Linked DNA regions of Struthio camelus. Each later gene encodes a partner of the first gene's protein in a complex. Links are inferred from orthologs where the notes say so. Each region holds a gene or a part of one and is shown in the gene's direction. Other genes may lie near its edges.

What was found.
Region 2: the proteins of TNPO3 (region 1) and CIRBP are in contact, whole or in part, in a crystal structure (PDB 8CMK), measured with the Homo sapiens proteins. The link is inferred for Struthio camelus from reciprocal best matches to the Homo sapiens genes TNPO3 and CIRBP. Residues at the interface, in NP_036602.1 of Homo sapiens: Arg620, Glu660, Arg661, Cys663, Arg664, Arg667, Phe668, Arg671, Ser698, Cys699, Tyr702, Ser705, Ile706, Asp709, Glu710, Asp747, Asp750, Asp751, Arg754, Arg758; in NP_001271.1 of Homo sapiens: Tyr160, Arg161, Ser163, Tyr164, Asp165, Ser166, Tyr167, Ala168.

Annotation. Positions count from the first base shown.
Region 1 is NC_090942.1:1,544,229-1,553,604, reverse strand, and holds the start of TNPO3 (transportin-3), read left to right. Parts: upstream 1-5,369; 5' UTR 5,370-5,567; coding exon 5,568-5,693; intron 5,694-9,376. UniProt on the Homo sapiens protein: Importin, which transports target proteins into the nucleus. Specifically mediates the nuclear import of splicing factor serine/arginine (SR) proteins, such as RBM4, SFRS1 and SFRS2, by recognizing phosphorylated SR domains.
Region 2 is NC_090967.1:7,051,040-7,060,167, reverse strand, and holds CIRBP (cold-inducible RNA-binding protein), read left to right. Parts: upstream 1-4,913; 5' UTR 4,914-5,535; intron 5,536-6,296; 5' UTR 6,297-6,302; coding exon 6,303-6,405; intron 6,406-6,487; coding exon 6,488-6,594; intron 6,595-6,819; coding exon 6,820-6,958; intron 6,959-7,044; coding exon 7,045-7,129; intron 7,130-7,254; coding exon 7,255-7,322; intron 7,323-7,744; coding exon 7,745-7,761; 3' UTR 7,762-8,488; downstream 8,489-9,128. UniProt on the Homo sapiens protein: Cold-inducible mRNA binding protein that plays a protective role in the genotoxic stress response by stabilizing transcripts of genes involved in cell survival. Acts as a translational activator.

The DNA of each region.
Region 1 (9,376 bases):
CGTGGGACACTGCTGCTCAGGGGGTGCTTCTCCCCATGGGACACCACTGCCCGTGGGACGCTGCTGCTCAGGGGGTGCTTCTCCCCATGGGACACCACTGCCCGTGGGACACTGCTGCTCCCTGGGGTGCTTCTCCCCATGGGACACCGCTGCCCGTGGGACACTGCTGCTCCCTGGGGTGCTTCTCCCCATGGGACACCACTGCCCGTGGGACGCTGCTGCTCCCTGGGGTGCTTCTCCCCATGGGACACCACTGCCCGTGGGACACTGCTGCTCCCTGGGGTGCTTCTCCCCATGGGACACCGCTGCCCGTGGGACACTGCTGCTCAGGGGGTGCTTCTCCCCATGGGACACCGCTGCCCGTGGGACACTGCTGCTCAGGGGGTGCTTCTCCCCATGGGACACCACTGCCCGTGGGACGCTGCTGCTCCCTGGGGTGCTTCTCCCCATGGGACACCACTGCCCGTGGGACGCTGCTGCTCCCTGGGGTGCTTCTCCCCATGGGACACCACTGCCCGTGGGACGCTGCTGCTCCCTGGGGTGCTTCTCCCCATGGGACACCTCTGCCCGTGGGACGCTGCTGCTCAGGGGGTGCTTCTCCCCATGGGACGCCACTGCCCATAGGACGCTGCTGCTCAGGGGGTGCTTCTCCCCATGGGACACCACTGCCCGTGGGACACTGCTGCTCCCTGGGGTGCTTCTCCCCATGGGACACCACTGCCCGTGGGACGCTGCTGCTCCCTGGGGTGCTTCTCCCCATGGGACACCTCTGCCCGTGGGACGCTGCTGCTCAGGGGGTGCTTCTCCCCATGGGACGCCACTGCCCATAGGACGCTGCTGCTCAGGGGGTGCTTCTCCCCATGGGACACCACTGCCCGTGGGACACTGCTGCTCCCTGGGGTGCTTCTCCCCATGGGACACCACTGCCCGTGGGACACTGCTGCTCGGGGGGTGCTTCTCCCCATGGGACGCCACTGCCCATAGGACGCTGCTGCTCAGGGGGTGCTTCTCCCCATGGGATGCTGCTGCCCGTGGGACATTGCTGAGCTGCTGCCACCTGCAGGAGGTGACATCACTGTGCCGTCCCCATCACAGGCACCATGAGTGGTGCCTGGCTGAGGTGGGCTGGGGCTGAGCGAGAGGAGAGCAGCCCCGCGTCCCGGCTCCTCGCTGTGGCACCTTGGCTCCCGCAGGACACCCAATGTTGCCAGCAGCACGCCCTTCCCTTGCTGAGGGCACCTGGGGACACGTGGTGGGGCTGCAGATGGGGACACGGATGGGGGTGGACATGGGGATGGAGATAGGTACAGGGATGGGGATGCAGACTTGGATGGAGCATGGAGGGAAGGACAGGGACGCATCCTGCCCCTCTGTGGGGCTGGGCCGCCATGGGCTGGTCCCTGCCGTGGGTCTCCAGCACCGAGGGAACAGCAGCGCTAGCTAAGGCCCAAATGACCCCGGCGACGTCATCAGAAAGGCCAGAAAAGGCCCCAGCGCCCTCAGGAACGCTATCAGCAACAGCAGGAAGGGTCAAAGCTCCCTGGGGAGCCAGGCTGGGAATGCCAGCCCTAAACCCCTGCCATCTCCCTCATCCCTGCCCCGGACCCCTGCCCTGGACCCTGCCCCAGACCCCCCCCAGTCCCCTCATCCCTGCCCCAGACACCCCAGTTCCCCCCCCAACACCCCCATCCCTGACCTGGACCCCCCCAAATGCCACGAGCCCTGCCCTGGCCACACGGGTGCCATGAGTGCAGCGGGGCAAGAGGTGCGGGTTGAACGTCCCTCTCCTGCAGCCCCTTGGCGTCCGCACCTGGGAGGACACTGAGCCGGGTCGGGGGCACCGGTGGGGACGGGAGCGGACCAGGCTGGTGGGGGGTCCCTTATATACCTGTAGCAATGGGTGGTGCTGCACGGGGTCCCCTATGCACCTATAGCAGTGGAGGGATTGATGTGAGGGGTCCCCTATATGGGGCCATGCCACGCTGGGATCCCTCAAGCTGCCCCTTCCCCGAGGCCGGGCCGAGCCTGGCGTCCCCCATGCCCTGAGCCCTGGGCCAAAGCCCCAGGCAGGAGTCATTTGGGGAAGCGGAGGATGTGGTGGGCCATGTTGGAGGTCCTAACCGCGTGCCTGGCCGTGCGCCTGGCGGCCGGAAAGTCCCCCCATGACCGCTTCTCTGCCCTGGCTCAAGCCAGGCGCCGGGGCCCTGGGCGCCTGCGGCAGCATCGCCGGGCTGCTCCGGCCTGGACCCCGGGGCCGCGGGAGGTCCAGGTCCTGACGAGACGCAACAGGTCAGTCTGGGAGAGGTAGTGGTGGTTGTTCAACTTATTCATCCATGACCTGGAGGAAGGGACAGAGTGCCCCCTCAGCAAGGTTGCCGATGATACTAAACTGGGAGGAGTGGCTGACACACCAGAAGGCTGTGCTGCCATTCAGGGGGACGTGGACAGGCTGGAGAGTTGGGTGGAGAGGAACCTCATGCAGTTCCACAAAGGCAAGTGCAGGCTCCTGCCCCTGGGGAGGAAGAACCCCAGGCACCAGGACAGGCTGGGGGTTGACCTGCTGGAGAGCAGCTCTGCCGAGAGGGACCTGGGAGTGCTGGTGGACAACAAATTGACCACGAGCCAGCAGTGTGCCCTTGTGGCCAAGAAGGCCAATGGTCTCCTGGGGTGGGTGCATTGAGTGTTGCCAGCAGGTGGAGGGAGGTGATCCTCCCCCTCTACTCAGCCCTGCTGAGGCCACATCTGCAGTACTGTGTCCAACTGTGGGCTCCCCGGTACAGGAGAGACATGGCACTACTGGAGAGAGTCCAGCAGAGGGCTACAAAGCTGAGTAGGGGACTGGAGCATCTCTCCTGTGAAGAAAGGCTGAAGAAACTGGGCCTGTACAGCCTGGAGAAGACTGAGAAGGGAACTCATCAATGCCTACAAGTATCTGAAGGGAGGGTGTCAAGAGAGGATGGGGCCACTCTCTTCTCTGTGGTGCCCAGTGACAGGACAAGAGGCAACGGGCACAAACTGAAACACAAGAAGTTCCATCTGAACAGGAGGAAAAACTTCTTTACTGTGAGGGTGACAGAGCACTGGAAAAGGTTGCCCAGAGAGGAGTCTCCTTCCCTGGAGATATTCAAAACCTACCTGAATGCGCTCCTGGGAAATATGCTCTAGAGGATCCTGCTTGAGCACGGGGGGTTGGACTAGATGATCTCCAGAGGTCCCTTCCAACCTCAACCCTTCTGTGATTTTGTGTGATGCTGTGAACCCTCTGCCCTCCAGCATGGGGTCTGGTCCCCCATCGCTTCCCTCTCGCGTTAGGGCTGGGTCAGGAGCCCCCCCTGCCCTGTGCCCTGTGCCAGCACCCAGCTCCCCGGGGCTGCTGCTGGTGGGACACCACCACCCACGGGACACCACGGCCCGTGGGACACTGCTGCTCCCTGGGGTGCTTCTCCCCATGGGACACCACGGCCCGTGGGACACTGCTGCTCCCTGGGGTGCTTCTCCCCATGGGACACCTCTGCCTGTGGGACGCTGCTGCCTGTAGGAATGGCAGGCCTGAACCCCTGCCATCTCCCCCATCCCCCCCCCCAGTCCCCTCGTCCCTACCCCAGACACCCCGACCCCACATCCATGCCCTAGATCCCCACCAACACCCCCATCCCTGACCCGGACACCCCCCCAATTCCCTCATCCCTGCCATGGCCACGCAGGTGCAATGGGTGCGGTGGGGCAAGAGGTGCCAGTTGAACGTCCCTCTCCTGCGGCCCCTTGGTGCCCACAACTGGGACGACACTGGCCAGGCTGGTGGGACCGAGGGTGACGGGAGCGGAGCGGGCCGGGCAGGGGTCACCGGGGGGGGGGGGGGACGGGAGGGGACCAGACCGGGGTGGGGGTACTGGGGGGGGATGGGAGGGGACCAGACCGGGGTGGGGGTACTGGGGGGGGATGGGAGGGGACCAGACCGGGGGCACCGGGGGGGCACAGGAGGGAAACAGTCTGGGCCGGGGGCACCGGGGGGGGGACAGGAGTGGGCCGGGACGGGGGGACGGGAGGGGACCAGACCGGGCCGGGCCAGGGGCACCAGGGGGGACGGGAGGGGACCGGGCCAGGGGCACCGGGGGGGACGGGAGGGGACCAGACCGGGCCGGGCCAGGGGCACCAGGGGGGACGGGAGGGGACCGGGCCAGGGGCACCGGGGGGGACGGGAGGGGACCAGACCGGGCCGGGCCAGGGGCACCAGGGGGGACGGGAGGGGACCGGGCGGGGGGCACCGGGGGGGGACGGGAGGGGACCGGACTGGGCCGGGCGGGGGGAACTGGGGGGGACGGGAGGGGACCGGGCCGGGGGCACCGGGGGGGACGGGAGGGGACCAGTCTGGGCCGGGGGCACCGGGGGGGACGGGAGGGGACCGGGCCGGGGGCACCGGGGGGGGACAGGAGCGGGCCGAGCTGGGGGGAACGGAGGGGACCGGGCCGGGGGCACCGGGGGGGGACGGGAGGGGACCAGACCGGGCCGGGCCGGAGGCACCGGGGGGGATGGGAGGGGACCGGGCCAGGGGCACCGGGGGGGACGGGAGGGGACCAGACTGGGCCGGGGGCACCGGGGGGGACGGGAGGGGACCAGACCGGGCCGGGCCGGAGGCACCGGGGGGGATGGGAGGGGACCGGGCCAGGGGCACCGGGGGGGACGGGAGGGGACCAGACTGGGCCGGGGGCACCGGGGGGGACGGGAGGGGACCAGACCGGGCCGGGCCGGAGGCACCGGGGGGGATGGGAGGGGACCGGGCCAGGGGCACCGGGGGGGACGGGAGGGGACCAGACCGGGCCGGGGGCACCAGGGGGGACGGGAGGGGACTGGGCCGGGGGCACCGGGGGGGACGGGAGGGGACCGGGCCGGGCCAGGGGCACCGGGGGGGACGGGAGGGGACCGGGCCGGGGGCACCAGGGGGGACGGGAGGGGACCAGACCGGGCCGGGCCGGAGGCACCGGGGGGGACGGGAGGGGACCGGGCCAGGGGCACCAGGGGGGACGGGAGGGGACCAGGCCGGGCCAGGGGCACCGGGGGGGGGCGGGAGGGGGACAGACCGGACGGGGCCGGGGGCACCGGGGGGGGGGAGCGGGAGGGGGCCGGACGGGACCGGGCCGGGGGCACCGGGGACCACGGTCCACACGGGGTTCAGGGCCGGGCTGGCGGCCGGGCCCAGACCGCGCGCACAATGGCGGCCGGGGCGGGTCCCGGAAGCGCCGCCGCCGGGGGGGGGTGGAGGGGGGCGGCCCGTCTCTTCCCGCCGCCGCCGTGCCGGCCGGGCCGCTTTGGGCGGCGCACGCGGCGGAAGCGCGGCGCGGCGGTTCCGGGCGGCGCGAGCGGGCGGTGGCAGCGGGCGGGAGGGAGGGAGGGAGCGGGGTTGGCCGGACCGGAAGCGGAACGCGCGGCTCGGCGCGTGTTTCCGGCGGGGGCCGCGCTCGGCGTGGCACCGCCCCGTCCCGGTAACGGACGGCGCAGGGCGAGGAGATGGCGGCGGGCGGCAGCGGCCGGCGGCCCTGAGCGGCGGCGGCGGCAGCATCGGCAGCGCCATGGAGGGCGGCGGGGGCAAGCCGAGCCTGCAGGTGGTGTACCAGGCCGTGCAGGCCCTCTACCACGACCCCGACCCCAGCGGCAAGGAGCGGGCGAGCTGCTGGCTGGGCGAGCTCCAGCGATCGGTGAGGCCTGCTCCGGTGGAGCACGTTTCGGGCGGGGGGCAGGACCGGTTTTGGGGGCGGGGGGGGGGAAGTGTGTGGAGAGCTCAGTAGGCCTCGCCCCAGGCCGCGGCCTGGCCTCGCTGCTCGCCTGCCCCGGCGGCTGTCGGCGTTGTGCCCCGGTCCCCTCCGCTCTTGCCCACCGCGTCGCCGGTCCCGCTCGCCGCGGCCTGTCGGCGTGAGAGCGGGAGTTTGGTCGACGTCCGGCGGCGCGGAGCTGGCTGGCGGGCAGCCCCTCCGCAGCTGCTCGGCGACCTGGCTTGTCTTCGTGGCTTCACCCGAAGCAGCGAGGTGGTGTTTTGTTATCGTTACCGCTCTCCAAGTCCGCTCTGGGGAGCGCAAAGGCCTGGCTTTTGTCGCGGTCTGCCCGCGCTGAGGCTCCTTGACCAGAACAGGAAAGACAGGCTGCCTTATTTGGCACAGCCTCTGTGGTAGCTGAGGAGCAGGAAATGGTTGAGGGAAACGTTGTGAAAGGTATTGGACGGGCCCACAACCCCTCCTCTCGCCGGGCGTGATGGACCCCACGGGCACCCCCGCTCTGCCCGCTGCTCCCGGCCTGCCCACGGCCGAGAGAGCTGAGGCTTCCCCTGGAAAACAGTCGAAGTCGTGCTCTAGCTTACGGTGAACCAGAGGAGTGGAAGCACTGCTGCTCGCTTCTGAAACCCTGAAGTGATTGATGTCAAGTTCTGTCCTGCTGGACTTTAGCCTCAAGACTAAATTTAGAAATTGATGTATGTTTTTTGGCCTAGCCGTACTTCAGGGCATTCTCTTGCTGAAAACATATTTGTTCGCTCTTGGTTGTAAGGCTGGGAGTGACTTCATTTTTTTTTTTTTCCCCTAAAGCCTATTGTTTCTCCTTGTTGTCTTTTGTATCGGTATGGCTCTCAGCTATGTAGAGCGGAGCATAGAGCGGGCGTCCTTTGTGTCGCTGATGTCTAGTTTTCCTCCTCTGCCGTCCACACGTCCCCTCTACCCCCGCCCCTCCCGCCAGAAATCTTTGGAGGCTGCTTGTGTTTTCCGAGGAGAAGCAGTGAATCCTGAATTCTGATCAGTTTTGTCTAGCATGCTGGGACCTCTTGAAGAGCAAGACTTCTGCCCCCTGCACTGGTCTGCTTGTCTCAAAGCCTGAATGCTGTGAAGGACAGCAGAAAATTCTCCTCTGCTTCCTCGAGTGTCTTCCCAAGCAAGTTTTACAGAGCTCTGTTCAGCTTCCTCACTTTGTAGGAGATAAGTAGTGACTGTGGAATTAATCTGCTAGATAAATGTTGCTGCTCTGAACTTCTCATTGGCTAGTACCTCTTTACAGCATTCATTACAACAAACTCATGTTTTCTTCCTTAATTTACTTGAGCTGAATAGAGTTGGATTCCTAATTATCGTAAGAGTCTATAGTAGTATTTACTTCTGCAACTATTCTGGTAAGTTTGGGAAAAATCCAGTTATAAAGATTAATCAAGTCTATGTATATTTGGATGGTATCTTTTCCTGAAAAAGCGGTCTTCACCATTTGGAAAGTACGTGGGGTGGGTGTGCAAGGAGAACAACTAAACTTACATGAATTTGCCAAGTGTTGAGTGCCAACACACAGCAGACACACAGCAGTTCTTCTGATCGGTTTGAGACGTGGAGCAGAGCCCCCCTGGACCCTGTCGCCTTGCTGGGCTGTACCCTCACACCAGCATTTAAGGTAACTTGATGAACGTTAGGGGTTTGGTTGTGGCCGCGTGAAGATCTTGTTTCAGTTTATTTCCAGAGCGGTGTCTCTCTTGCCCAGTCTGTGACTTTGTTGTGAGGTTACTCCTGTTTCAGAAACTAAATTTGTAATCGCGGCATGAGATTCTCCTTTTTTGTCACGTGAGGCCTCCTAAACCGCTGAATCCCTACCTGAGAAGGCCAAAGGCAAACTAAAGACTCCAGCTTTTATTCTATATTAGAGTTGAAAGAGAGTAAACTGTGCTGCAATTATTGCAGATCTATTTCTGGAACAGATAACGCTTTTGCTATGTGCCTAGATGAATTCCTGATCAGCCTTTGGGGCAGAGAGGGAAATCTAGAGCCAGCTGGTGATGCGACAGGACAAAGAAGTGGATAGCGTCCTGCTTTCAAGGTAACTTGCTGAACATCAAGACTGCAGTCTGAAGCGGTTACTTCTGCGTTAGGAGCAGAGGGCCCCCCCGACGGCATTGTAGGGCCTGTGAGCCGTGCTTGAGACACACTGCCCCATCAAGAGGAGCGGTGGAAGCATTTGGGTCTTAATTTTTAAAAAAACCTGGCCTCCCACGAGGATGGGGTTTCTCATTCGTCTCTGTCCCTGTGGAAAGCCTTGTGGTCTGTTTTGCTCAGCTGTGGTTGCTTTGGACGCTTATCTGTGTTTTCCAGATCGTTTTGTAAACTAAATCAAAAGCGTGCTTATTTAATTTAAGCCTTTGTTGCCTTCTGCTCCTTGAACGCTTCTTTCTGCGCTGGCTGCTCCCTTTAACTAACTTGCCGTCGTACAAATAATCTCTAGTGACTGAACAGACAATTCCTCTGCGAAGCTGCTTTTGTCCTGTGGCGCAGATAAGTGTGCGTGAAGTACCTCAGCAGTCTGGCCAGAAGACAAAGGGGATCCCTTTGCTTTTTAGAGGGAAGTAACTTCTTTATCTTTTCTCAAGAGAAATGCCTTCAGAAACCTCCTTTCAGCTCTGGACTGGCTCTTTCATGTATGCAAGTGCGTTTTAAACTCAAGCAGCAAGCTAGCCTGTCTCCATGTTAACAGTGTTTCTGGTTCTCGCTTCTTATTTATACTTATTTGACCTGATGCTTTGAGAGATTCACTTGCAGAGTTTAGTGACACGTTTTAAGGAGCAATCCCGCTTCCCTCTCAGATCTTTGGGAAAGGAACGGACGCTCTGGAGTGCAACTTAAAATCATTCAGAATACATAACTTATTTAAATTGTTCTTTACTAAATTTATTTCAACTTTCAGACGTAAGCCAGAGAAAGAGGAGCGTTTTTTTTTAGAAAGATGAGCATTTCTGTTAGACGGACCATCATAGCAGGTACCGGATTTGGCTTGCCCAAGGCCTAGAGGCAGTCCAGCCCCTCTGTTCTTGTTCAGAGAAGGTAATAACAGCTTCAGAGAAGTGATGTTGTAGGCTAATTCCGTAGTAACGGTGTCGCAGCTTTCTCCATCGGCCTCTGCGAGGCAGGCTGGAGTGAGCAGACATAGTGTGCTGGCTGCCTCGTGGTATCGGGGGGGGGGGTGATCTTACCCCACGGTAAGTGGGAGGCAACATGACAGCTCTGACGAAGGGGCGGGCGACCCCCCCCCCCCGTAGTGTTATACCACTTGGTAGTATTATACCACTTCTTAGCAGCTTCTTTCTGCAGGCATGAAGTTGTCTGATACGTGTGCCTAAGCGAAGCCTTGTGGTATTAGGAATAGAAGTATTTTGTGGAATTGAAGGACTGAGTCATAGATGTAAAGTTGCAGGTAGCTGATGGCTGAGTAGGTCTCATTTAACAAAACTTCTTCCTGAAGAAGACATTAACAGAAGCTTAGGCTGCTGCTTTATTTCATGGGGTGGGGGGCTTCTGCTCAAGAAGCAGCATTAGCTCTCTGCACAGCTGTGGGCAGTTCACATGCGGGGTGTTTTAGTCCACTT
Region 2 (9,128 bases), on another chromosome or scaffold:
AAGGGAATATTTTCGCCTGTGGGCTTAGGGGCTGCCAGTTCCAGGATTCAGAACCGAGGGGACGTGGATGCTGAGCCCAGGGCCGGCGCCGTGAGCGGCCGCGCAGGGGGCGCGGGGCGGGCGAGAGATCCTGCCGCGCAGAGGACGGCTCTGCCTGCTCCCCCTGCTTCCACCACAGCTGCAGGCAGCCCCGAAGGCTTCCTGCCGCCAGGCGTACGCGAGCCCTCGGCCAGCGGAGGTCAGCAAGGACGCGTCCCCGCTATGCAAAAGATGATTCTGCCCGTGGCTTTGGTGAGGGGCAGGATGAAGGCCCGGGGGGGGGGACGGACCCCGGTTCAATCCAGCCTCGCATTCCCTCTTTCCCTGCAATCCCAGCGAAAACAAAGAGACGGAAGGAGGCTCCTCGGCCGCGCCGCCGCCGGGGTTGGTGCCGGACAGCTGTGCCCGCCTCCTCCGCCCCCTCCAGCTGTGCCCCTGCCCGCTGCCTCCGCGGGAAGCGGGGTCCCCAGCGCTTTTCTGAGCGCAGCGCGAGCCCAGGCGACGTGGGTATTTTTGTCCCCTTTCCAGTCCTGCCGTCGCAGGGCTTGTGCGAGTCGGAGCGCGGAGAAGCAGGCGGTGATACCATCAGAGCCACAGCCAGGCGTTTTGGTGCCCGGTCGGCCTCTGCCAGCCGTCCCCGTGCTCCTCCTCGCCCCCTTTCTTCCCCGCGTCCCTCCTGGGAGCGCCTTTCCCCAGCCCTCGCCCGAGGCCGGCGTCAGCAGCTCCCGGAGGAATTCGGGTCTGTTCTCTCCGGTTTGGAAAGCTGATCACAGCGGCGCCTGGGGCAGACGCTTCTCCCGCTCTGCCCCTGGCTCTGGGCGCAGGCTACGGGAGCAGGCGGGCTGCGCAGCAAGTTTGTGCTTGGTTGCTGTGTGGCTCTGGGCAGATGCCAAACTGCTCTATCCCGTGGAAAATGGCTGTGATTACAGGGTGAGGCCAGCCTTAAAGGACTGGAGAAAGGCCCCTACAAATACAGGTAATAAATGTTGCCTAGCGGAGGTCCCTCGAAGAAATCCAGCTGTTTGCATCCATCCTGCAAAGGTCCCTTGGAGGCCAGGGGGGGTGCTGAGTACTAGATTTGGAAACCGTGACTGAGACAAGGACGTTACAGTAGGCTTTTTAGCACTCCTCTATCGATGCTCCCTGCATGTGGCACTAAAAGCTGCTGTGCTGCTGGAAGGAGACTCTTTTAGGACGTAAGTACTATCATTTTATATGCTACAATAATCTCTGTCACCGGAGGTTTTAAAGAAATGGGTGAGACAAATATCTGCCAGGAATGGGGTTGCTTGAGCCAACAGACAAGACTGGTCCCTGAGATCCCTCCAGCTTCTTGTGATTTATGATTTAACAGTTATCAGACACTGAAGTCCACAGTCCAGAGGAGCGCAGCATTGTGCTAAGAGCCACATGAACACATGGAGAGATGGCCTCTGCTTCGGAGAGCCTACAGGTCAAGGCAGCTATTTGCAGCTGCGGAAGACGCAACAGCACTTCCACCGCATCAGGTCACTTTAACTACAGTTCTTTCTTGTCGGGCGACCGAAAGGTGATTGAAAATGTGCCTCAGCTGGATAAAACAAATGAACTCATGCTCTGTCCTGAAATTTGTGCAGGGGCTACTTGAGCATCTAACCCACAGGCAGAAACAGCGCAAAAGTTAACGCTGAGCACCGTTTTCTTGCTTTACCTTGTCGAGAGTTTTGGGATCCTCAGGTCAGGAGTTGTGCAAATGTCAGTCATTGCTACAGAAAGGTTACCTCTGGTGACATGTATCACGTCTGTTATGCTTCATTGCCTAATTACTGCCATAACAACACGTGAAATCAGCCGGGACAGTTATTGACTGGCATACACTGCCCGCGCTGGTTTCAGCTGTAGTTTTGCGGTGCTTTTCTGGTACGCCAAGAGATTTTCCTGTGCTGAATCCCTCCCGGAGCCCATTGTGCCGGGGACAAACTCATGACAGTGCCCAACAGGTGAAAGCTCTGGCCACGTGGCCGCTGCAGCCCACTTGTTTACCAGCTAAAGTGACACACGCGGCTTCTAATGCCCTGGATCAGACAGGGAGGAATAAGCAGAACTGGAGCACGTGAAGCCTCCTGAGAGCACCAGAACTGGGACAAGCGAGTGGAGGCAGCACAGGAGATCTTGATTTGATCTGTTTCTCACCTTGTTTAATAGTGTAACTTCACTGGTTTCAAAGGAAAAGCATGAATGCACCCAAGTGAGACCGGAATCAGGTCTTCGGCTTCTGGGGCCCAATCCAGCTGCTGCAGAAGAGAGCTGGGATCTTTCCATTTACTGTTAGAGGAGCCAAATCAGGCCCTGAGGGCCAATGCTCAGCGGTGAACAGAGCTACGCGTCTCTGCACAAGCCTTTGGTCCTGGTAGGACCCAAATTCCATTGAAACTGTACATAAAAGATTAACTGTACTATTTTAAAAACACTTAACACGCACCGGCTTTGCAGGAGAAAAAAGTACGATTAAAAATAACCGTGTTTGTCCCTTGACGTTTGCGGTACTGACGGCCTTAGGAATATGCAAGCAGCTACAGCGCTGCCTCCTCCCCTTCAGCATCCCCAGGGCAGCCGTGCCGTGTCCTACCGCCACTCACGCCGCTCCCTGTCTCCGCTTGCAAAATGGCTCCATGCGTCAAGGTCACTTTACCCGCCCTCATCGTGAACCAGAAATGCTTATGTTAATACGTCCCTAATTTAATCAAAATGCCATGCTGGGGATTCAAGCTCAGGGCTGAATTGTCTTTTTCAAGGGCAAAAATTGACTTGCGATCTCAGGTGGCACACAAGTCCTCTCTCCTTGCCTCTCCCGTCCTTTGACATGACTGGTGCACCGGTGGACCACACAGTGTGATGCAATATTAGGTAGAATTAAAAAATAACCCAGGCTTATTCAACATTTTAAACGCTGAGTTTAAAATACCTACTTCCAATCAGGAAACAAAATTTTTTTTTTTTGGTAAAAAAATATTGCAATATCTTATCCTACCTTCACAGCTTCATCTTGTTTTTAATTATTGCTCTAATATTTTGAGTGCTGAACCTTTTATTTTCCTTTTACTGCAAAGCATCTCAGACACACTTAAGTACCAATAGATTATATATAACATATATAATAATTTGTATTATTAATGCTGTTAATTTCTTCTCTGGACTGGAAAATTAGTTCATTTTTTCATAGTTTTACCAGTAAGAAGGTAATAATAGTAATAGATTGGTGCCTCATCAATATATATATTTTTAATGCGCTTACTAGTACTTGAGCTGTAGCCAGTAATGCACGGTGGTGGAGCATGCTGTTGTACCCTGCTGGTGCTGTATGTTTGGCGAAACGACCAACGCTTTAGTACCATAACATAAAATCCGCAATGTTCCATTATGAAAGCTGTGCTGAGGAGTAATGAAACAGCTATTTTTGAGTGTACAGCAGTACAGATTAGGGCAGAGTGCAATACTGAGATTCTTCTGTATTTCATAATTACTATACCTGCTTGTGTACAAAACAAACAATCTTTTCCCTGTAGATCGCAAAACGGGTAACATCAAATCAGGGAGGAAAAGTCCAATTTCCTTACTCTGAGAGGCAGGGAAGGAGAGTACTCCCTGCTTTCACATAACAATAGTGGGCAGAAGACTCCTTTGCATTTCACTATGGCTCTTTTCACTCTTCCTGTCTCGGCACTCAGTTAGGAAATCAATCGCATTATTTGGGGGGGGGGAAAAAAACCCAGCCCTGACTTAAATACCGTATGCTATTTAAACAGCGGTTCCGACCAAGACTGCTCTGAGCTCTGGGACCAGAGAGGCGATGGGAGGGAGGCAGGGGTGCGCGTATGTGCGCACCCTCTTCTCCTGGTGCAAACTGCAAACAAAATTACCGACTCCTTTGCAGTACAATTCCCCACCTCACTTCACAGATCCAGTTTACACGGCGCTGATCCTGCTGCCGAGTAGAGGGGTAGGTGACGTGGCCTCCAGGACCCGTCCTAGCCCTGTTTTCTTCCAGCTCTTGTCCGTATGCCGCCGTTTTCCTCCTGCGTCTTTTCCTCTCGGCCGTTTTTAAATAGCATCCTACATCATGGCATAGTTGAGCCAAGACTGTAGCTTTTCTAGGAAAGACTGGGGAATTGTGTTTTCCTGTGCGTTTTAAAGCAATGCAGTCTCTTGAAGAAACGTGTACCTGTGTCGGACAGCTTCTTGTTTGAACTGGGAAGTTTTTAATGCTAGAGATATACTTACCTTATAAAAATCCCAGGGTGGGCTTTTAGACGTTTCAATGGAAAATGGGCTGAGCAGAATCCTTTCTTTTTTTTTCCCCTCCCCTTCACAAAACCATTTATGCTTGGGAACGGGTGATGGGGCGGCTTTTAAAATTAGTTGTGCCATGCTCTCAGGAGTACGCGCGGGGGGTGTCGAGTCACCAGGACCGCGCTTCAGAGGAGGAGGCTGCTTTGCTGTAGCCGTTATTCACCCTGCACACGCCGCGAGAGCCGGCCGGGGAAGGTGAAGTCGCGGCGTAACCCTTGGGCAGGACGCGGAGGGCGGCCGCCCGCCGAGGGGACGGACGGCGCGCCTGGGGGTGACGAGGACGCGGCGGCCCCTTCCTCTGCCGCCTGCCCGAGGGGCCTCCGCTCTCCAGAGAGCGGCTCGGGGAGGGGGGCGCTTCGCCCCGGCCTCCGAGCGTCGGCCTGGTCGCTCTGCTACGACGGATCCTGCCGTCATCCCACAGAGCCAACAGGCCGCCATGCCTGCGCGGGGTGGGGGTGGGGGGGCAGGCTGCCCTCCCTCAGCAAAGGGAACACGAGAGGGGCCCTGAGGTGGGGGCACACTGGGAAAGCCGAGCCACCGCCGGTGAGCACCGCCCGGTGCGGGCTGCGCCCCGCCGGGAGGCAGCGCAGGCTGCAGCGCTCGCCGCCCAAGATGGCGGCCGCCCCCTCAGGCGGCCCCTTTGTCTGCAGCAGCGGCGGCCGCCGCATTGCTGAGAAGGGCGCGAAACTGGGGCAGCGCGGCCACGCCCCCTCCCCGTGCGGGCCGCGAGGGGGTGTGGCGGAGGGGGAAATGCGACGGGGGCGCCCTCCAGCCAATCAGCTGCCTCCACTTCGTTTCTTCTCACAGGGGCTCTGCTGGCCAACGTTCTCCGAGCTCCCAACCAATCAGAGCCGCCCTCCACGCCCCACCCCCACGTGGGAGTAAGGGAAGGAGGGGGAATGCAGCGTTTTTGTTTTCACTCCCTCCTCCCCTCTCCCCCAGTCGGGCCTCATGAATATTAATAAGCTCCAGGCCAATCAGGTGGCGGAGCGGCGGCAGCGCTTTGGTCTCGTCACTCGCCCCGCCTTGCGGTGGGGCAGTATTTGCATATTCATAAGAGGGGCGGGGCCGAAAGCGGGGGTTTATAAGCCGCTGCCCCGCCAGCCTCAGCGTACATCGCGCTGAGACTTTGAAGTGCTGTGTGGACCCTTCAGCTCCAGAATACTGGTAAGGAGCCTGCTGGGGTGCTCGGGCGGCGGCCGGGCCGGGCTGGGCTGGGGAGGCTTGGAGCGCCTTAGTCAAGGGGAACGCGTCCGAGAAGCAGCGGGTTTGCTACCGGGGGGGAGCCTGGGGCGGGGGGCGCCTGTCCCGCGGCCCCGCTGTCTTTCGAGGTTGTGTAGTGAGCCTAGCGAAGGCGTTGTGGTTGCTCGCTGCGTGTGTGCGCTGTGTTGGGGGGGGGAAACCAGGGGGAGGGGTGAAATGCGCCTTCGGAAACAAAATGGCGACTCGCCTCGACGGTGCAAAATGGCGGCGGGTGGGAGGAGGGGCGTCGCAACGCGCCTGCGCCAAATGGGCGGAGCGCGGAGGGAGGAGCGGCGTCTCCGGGGGCGGGGAGGGGGGCCTGGTGGCCGGGAGGCTGCGCCTGTGCCCCGCGGGGCGCGCATGCGCGGGGCGGGGCGGGCGGCTGCAGGCAGGGCCGGAGCCCGCCGTGCCGGGCGAGCCCTCTGCGCGCCTCCGGGGAGGTGGCTTGGCCCCGGGTGAGGGCGGATGTGGTGGGTAGCTGTGCTCTCCTTCGTAACCTGGATGTGGCTCGGTTTTTCCAAGAGAAAGCACTTGGTCCTCCGTTCGGGTGCTCCTTTGTGGTTTGCAGCGGTGGCTCGCTGAACCGAATGAGCGTGCGTTGTTTAAGAATGCTAGGCTGCTGATCCAATGTTTTGGCCCTTGCGGAAATATTTCTTGGTTTAACGGTGGGTACGTTGACTTTACAGGACAAAATGGCATCCGATGAGGGGAAGCTCTTTGTTGGCGGTCTGAGTTTTGACACCAATGAGCAGTCATTGGAACAAGTCTTCTCTAAATATGGACAGATCTCTGAAGGTAAGATCATCATAATTAGCTGTGATGTTTTCCATGAATTTTCTAGATTTCCTGGGTGCTCATGTTCTTTTTTTCTTTGTAGTCGTTGTGGTGAAAGACAGAGAGACTCAAAGATCCAGAGGTTTTGGCTTTGTTACTTTTGAAAACATAGACGATGCTAAAGATGCAATGATGGCTATGAACGGAAAGGTAAGGAGACTTTGGAATTTCTTTCCTGATCTCTCAAGGAATAAGAGGAGCCAGCAAAGCGTGTTCCTGTTCAGTGAAATGATAGAAACTCAGAGGGAACACATACATAGCGCTTGAAAACTAATTTACTTCTGTAGTGGGCTATACCTTAGTTGTAACGCTGAACGAAAGGCTTGTTGTTCAACATTGAAATACCAAGTTGGTTTATTTTTCTTTCGACTTTAGTCTGTAGATGGACGTCAGATCAGAGTTGATCAGGCTGGAAAATCATCAGAGAACAGATCTCGTGGATACAGAGGGGGGTCTTCTGGGGGCAGAGGCTTTTTCCGTGGAGGCAGAGGTCGGGGCCGTGGCTTCTCTAGAGGTGAGCGTATGTAAAAGATCAGTACTTATTGATAGGATAATGGTAGCTCTCAGCATGCTAAAATAAACTCCTTGCATCTGTTGAAGGAGGTGGAGACAGAGGCTATGGCGGAAGCAGGTTTGATTCCAGAAGTGGAGGATATAATGGCTCCAGAGACTACTATAATAGCAGGTAAACCCACCGCAAATAGGGGTTCTTTTGCAAAGCGCTTGGAAGTCCGCTGCCTGTTTGACACATGTCAAGAGGCTCCACGAACAGATGAACAAATATAATGCATGTGAATGTATTTTTAACAGCAGGAGTCAAGGTGGTTACGGCGACAGGTCTTCAGGAGGATCCTACAGAGACAGCTACGACAGTTACGGTAAGTCTTAGTTCAAATGGGAATGACGAGTATGTTGCTGTAGGAACTCTCTAAACCTTCTCACCCTGTACTGAAGTCTGGAAATACTGTAAGGCTCAGTTGGACTGTACCACTATTTTTGTTCTTGCCCGTAAGAACCAATCTGTCAAGCCTCGGACGTGGTTGTGCCATTTAAATTTCTAATTTGTAATGCATGTGTAGGAGTTGCTTGGATCTAAGGCAAAGCAAGTTTTTAACTACATTCCTCAAGCTTGAGACTAAGACAAAACTCAGATGCCCTAACAAACTTTAATCAAGGGTGGGGGAGTTCTCTTAAGACATAGCGAACTAGCATTAGCTTCTGAAATAATGCAAGGGAGTAAAATGCTGGAACTTGTCTATGCTTCAGTGCCTTTACAATTGTGCCTGCTTCTTGTCCTCAGCTACACACAACGAGTAAAAATCCTTCCTGACTCAAGATCGTCCTTCCAATGGCTGTATTTATAAAGATTTTTGGAGCTTCGCTGAAATCGTTATTGTGTAGTACATCTACTTGTATTTTCACTTTTGTAGTATTATCAGTTCTAATCTTGTCAAACACAGCCTGACAGCTTCTGATATAAGATGGTCTAATTAGACTTTTCTTTAAGAAAGCTCTGCTTTCAAGTGTTTTTAATCTTTTTTGAAAGCACTTCAGATTTTATTTTATCCTTCATGATGAGCCAAGGTGTTTTTTTAAAGTTGTGAAGTTGGGGCCCCAATTCAGTTTCTTTTGAGATAGAAAGGACCTTTAATTCAATGTTCACTGGAAGCTGAACAAGCTGTGGACTTTTTTTTTTTTAAGTGCATTACCTTCGTCTTTTGTAACATTCCTTTAGTGTAGCAAGGTAGGAATGCAGCCTGGGTACAAATTGGAAGGCAAACCACCTTGATATATCTAAAGAGAAACTTGCTTGTATGTTCAACTTGCATAACGGTATTTTTACTGTTGTAATGATGTAAATTACCCAGAAATAGACTTGCAAACTTACCATAAAAGAGGTTCTTGAAAATGTTTATTTATATTGTCCTTTTTTACTGGAAGAAATATGCATATTCCATTGATATTGTATTTGAAGTGGTAAAGGATTCTTGTATACAGTTTTCTTTGGCTTTACGAAGCCTATTAAAAGACCGTCTGAAATGAACTCTGCTCCTGACATTTACATTTCATTGCACAACACAATCCTTGAAGATGAAGAACAGACTAAGTAATAGAGGATGCCAGAGGAGAAGATTAGCGATAGTATTAGAGCAAACCAGATTTATTGACCAGTTGCTAGAATTTAATCTTTACCAGTCTTGACATGTGAATACCTTCAACATACTTTCACATAAGAATAGTCAAACTTGTCTAGAGGCAGACTATTGAAAGTATATGCCTTACGGTATTCTAATACTCAAAGCCTAAGTCAGCAAAGGTCAAGGGAATGCTAGCTGGCCGCTTAGGTTAATCAATGTTTCCTTAAAATAAAGCAGACATTGAAAAGCTGTAGTAAAGAATCAGTCCTTTGGTAACTGGACTAGTTACTAGCTTGACACGGTGTTCGATGGTAGGTAAATTGCCGTAATTAGCTAGCTTTGTCATTGCCTTACAAGTTCTAAGAATTCTTTGCTAGCATATGGAAACTGCAGTGTCCTTGGAGAAAAGAAGTGTTGTGCCTCCAACAGAAACCTCTGAGACGAAAGCTGCTCTCTTGGCTAGTTCATATGTGGAAATAGTCCTGTAATTCGAGGTAACTCCTTTTGCTCATGTCCGCATCCTTCCTCTTGTTGAGAGCTCATTTG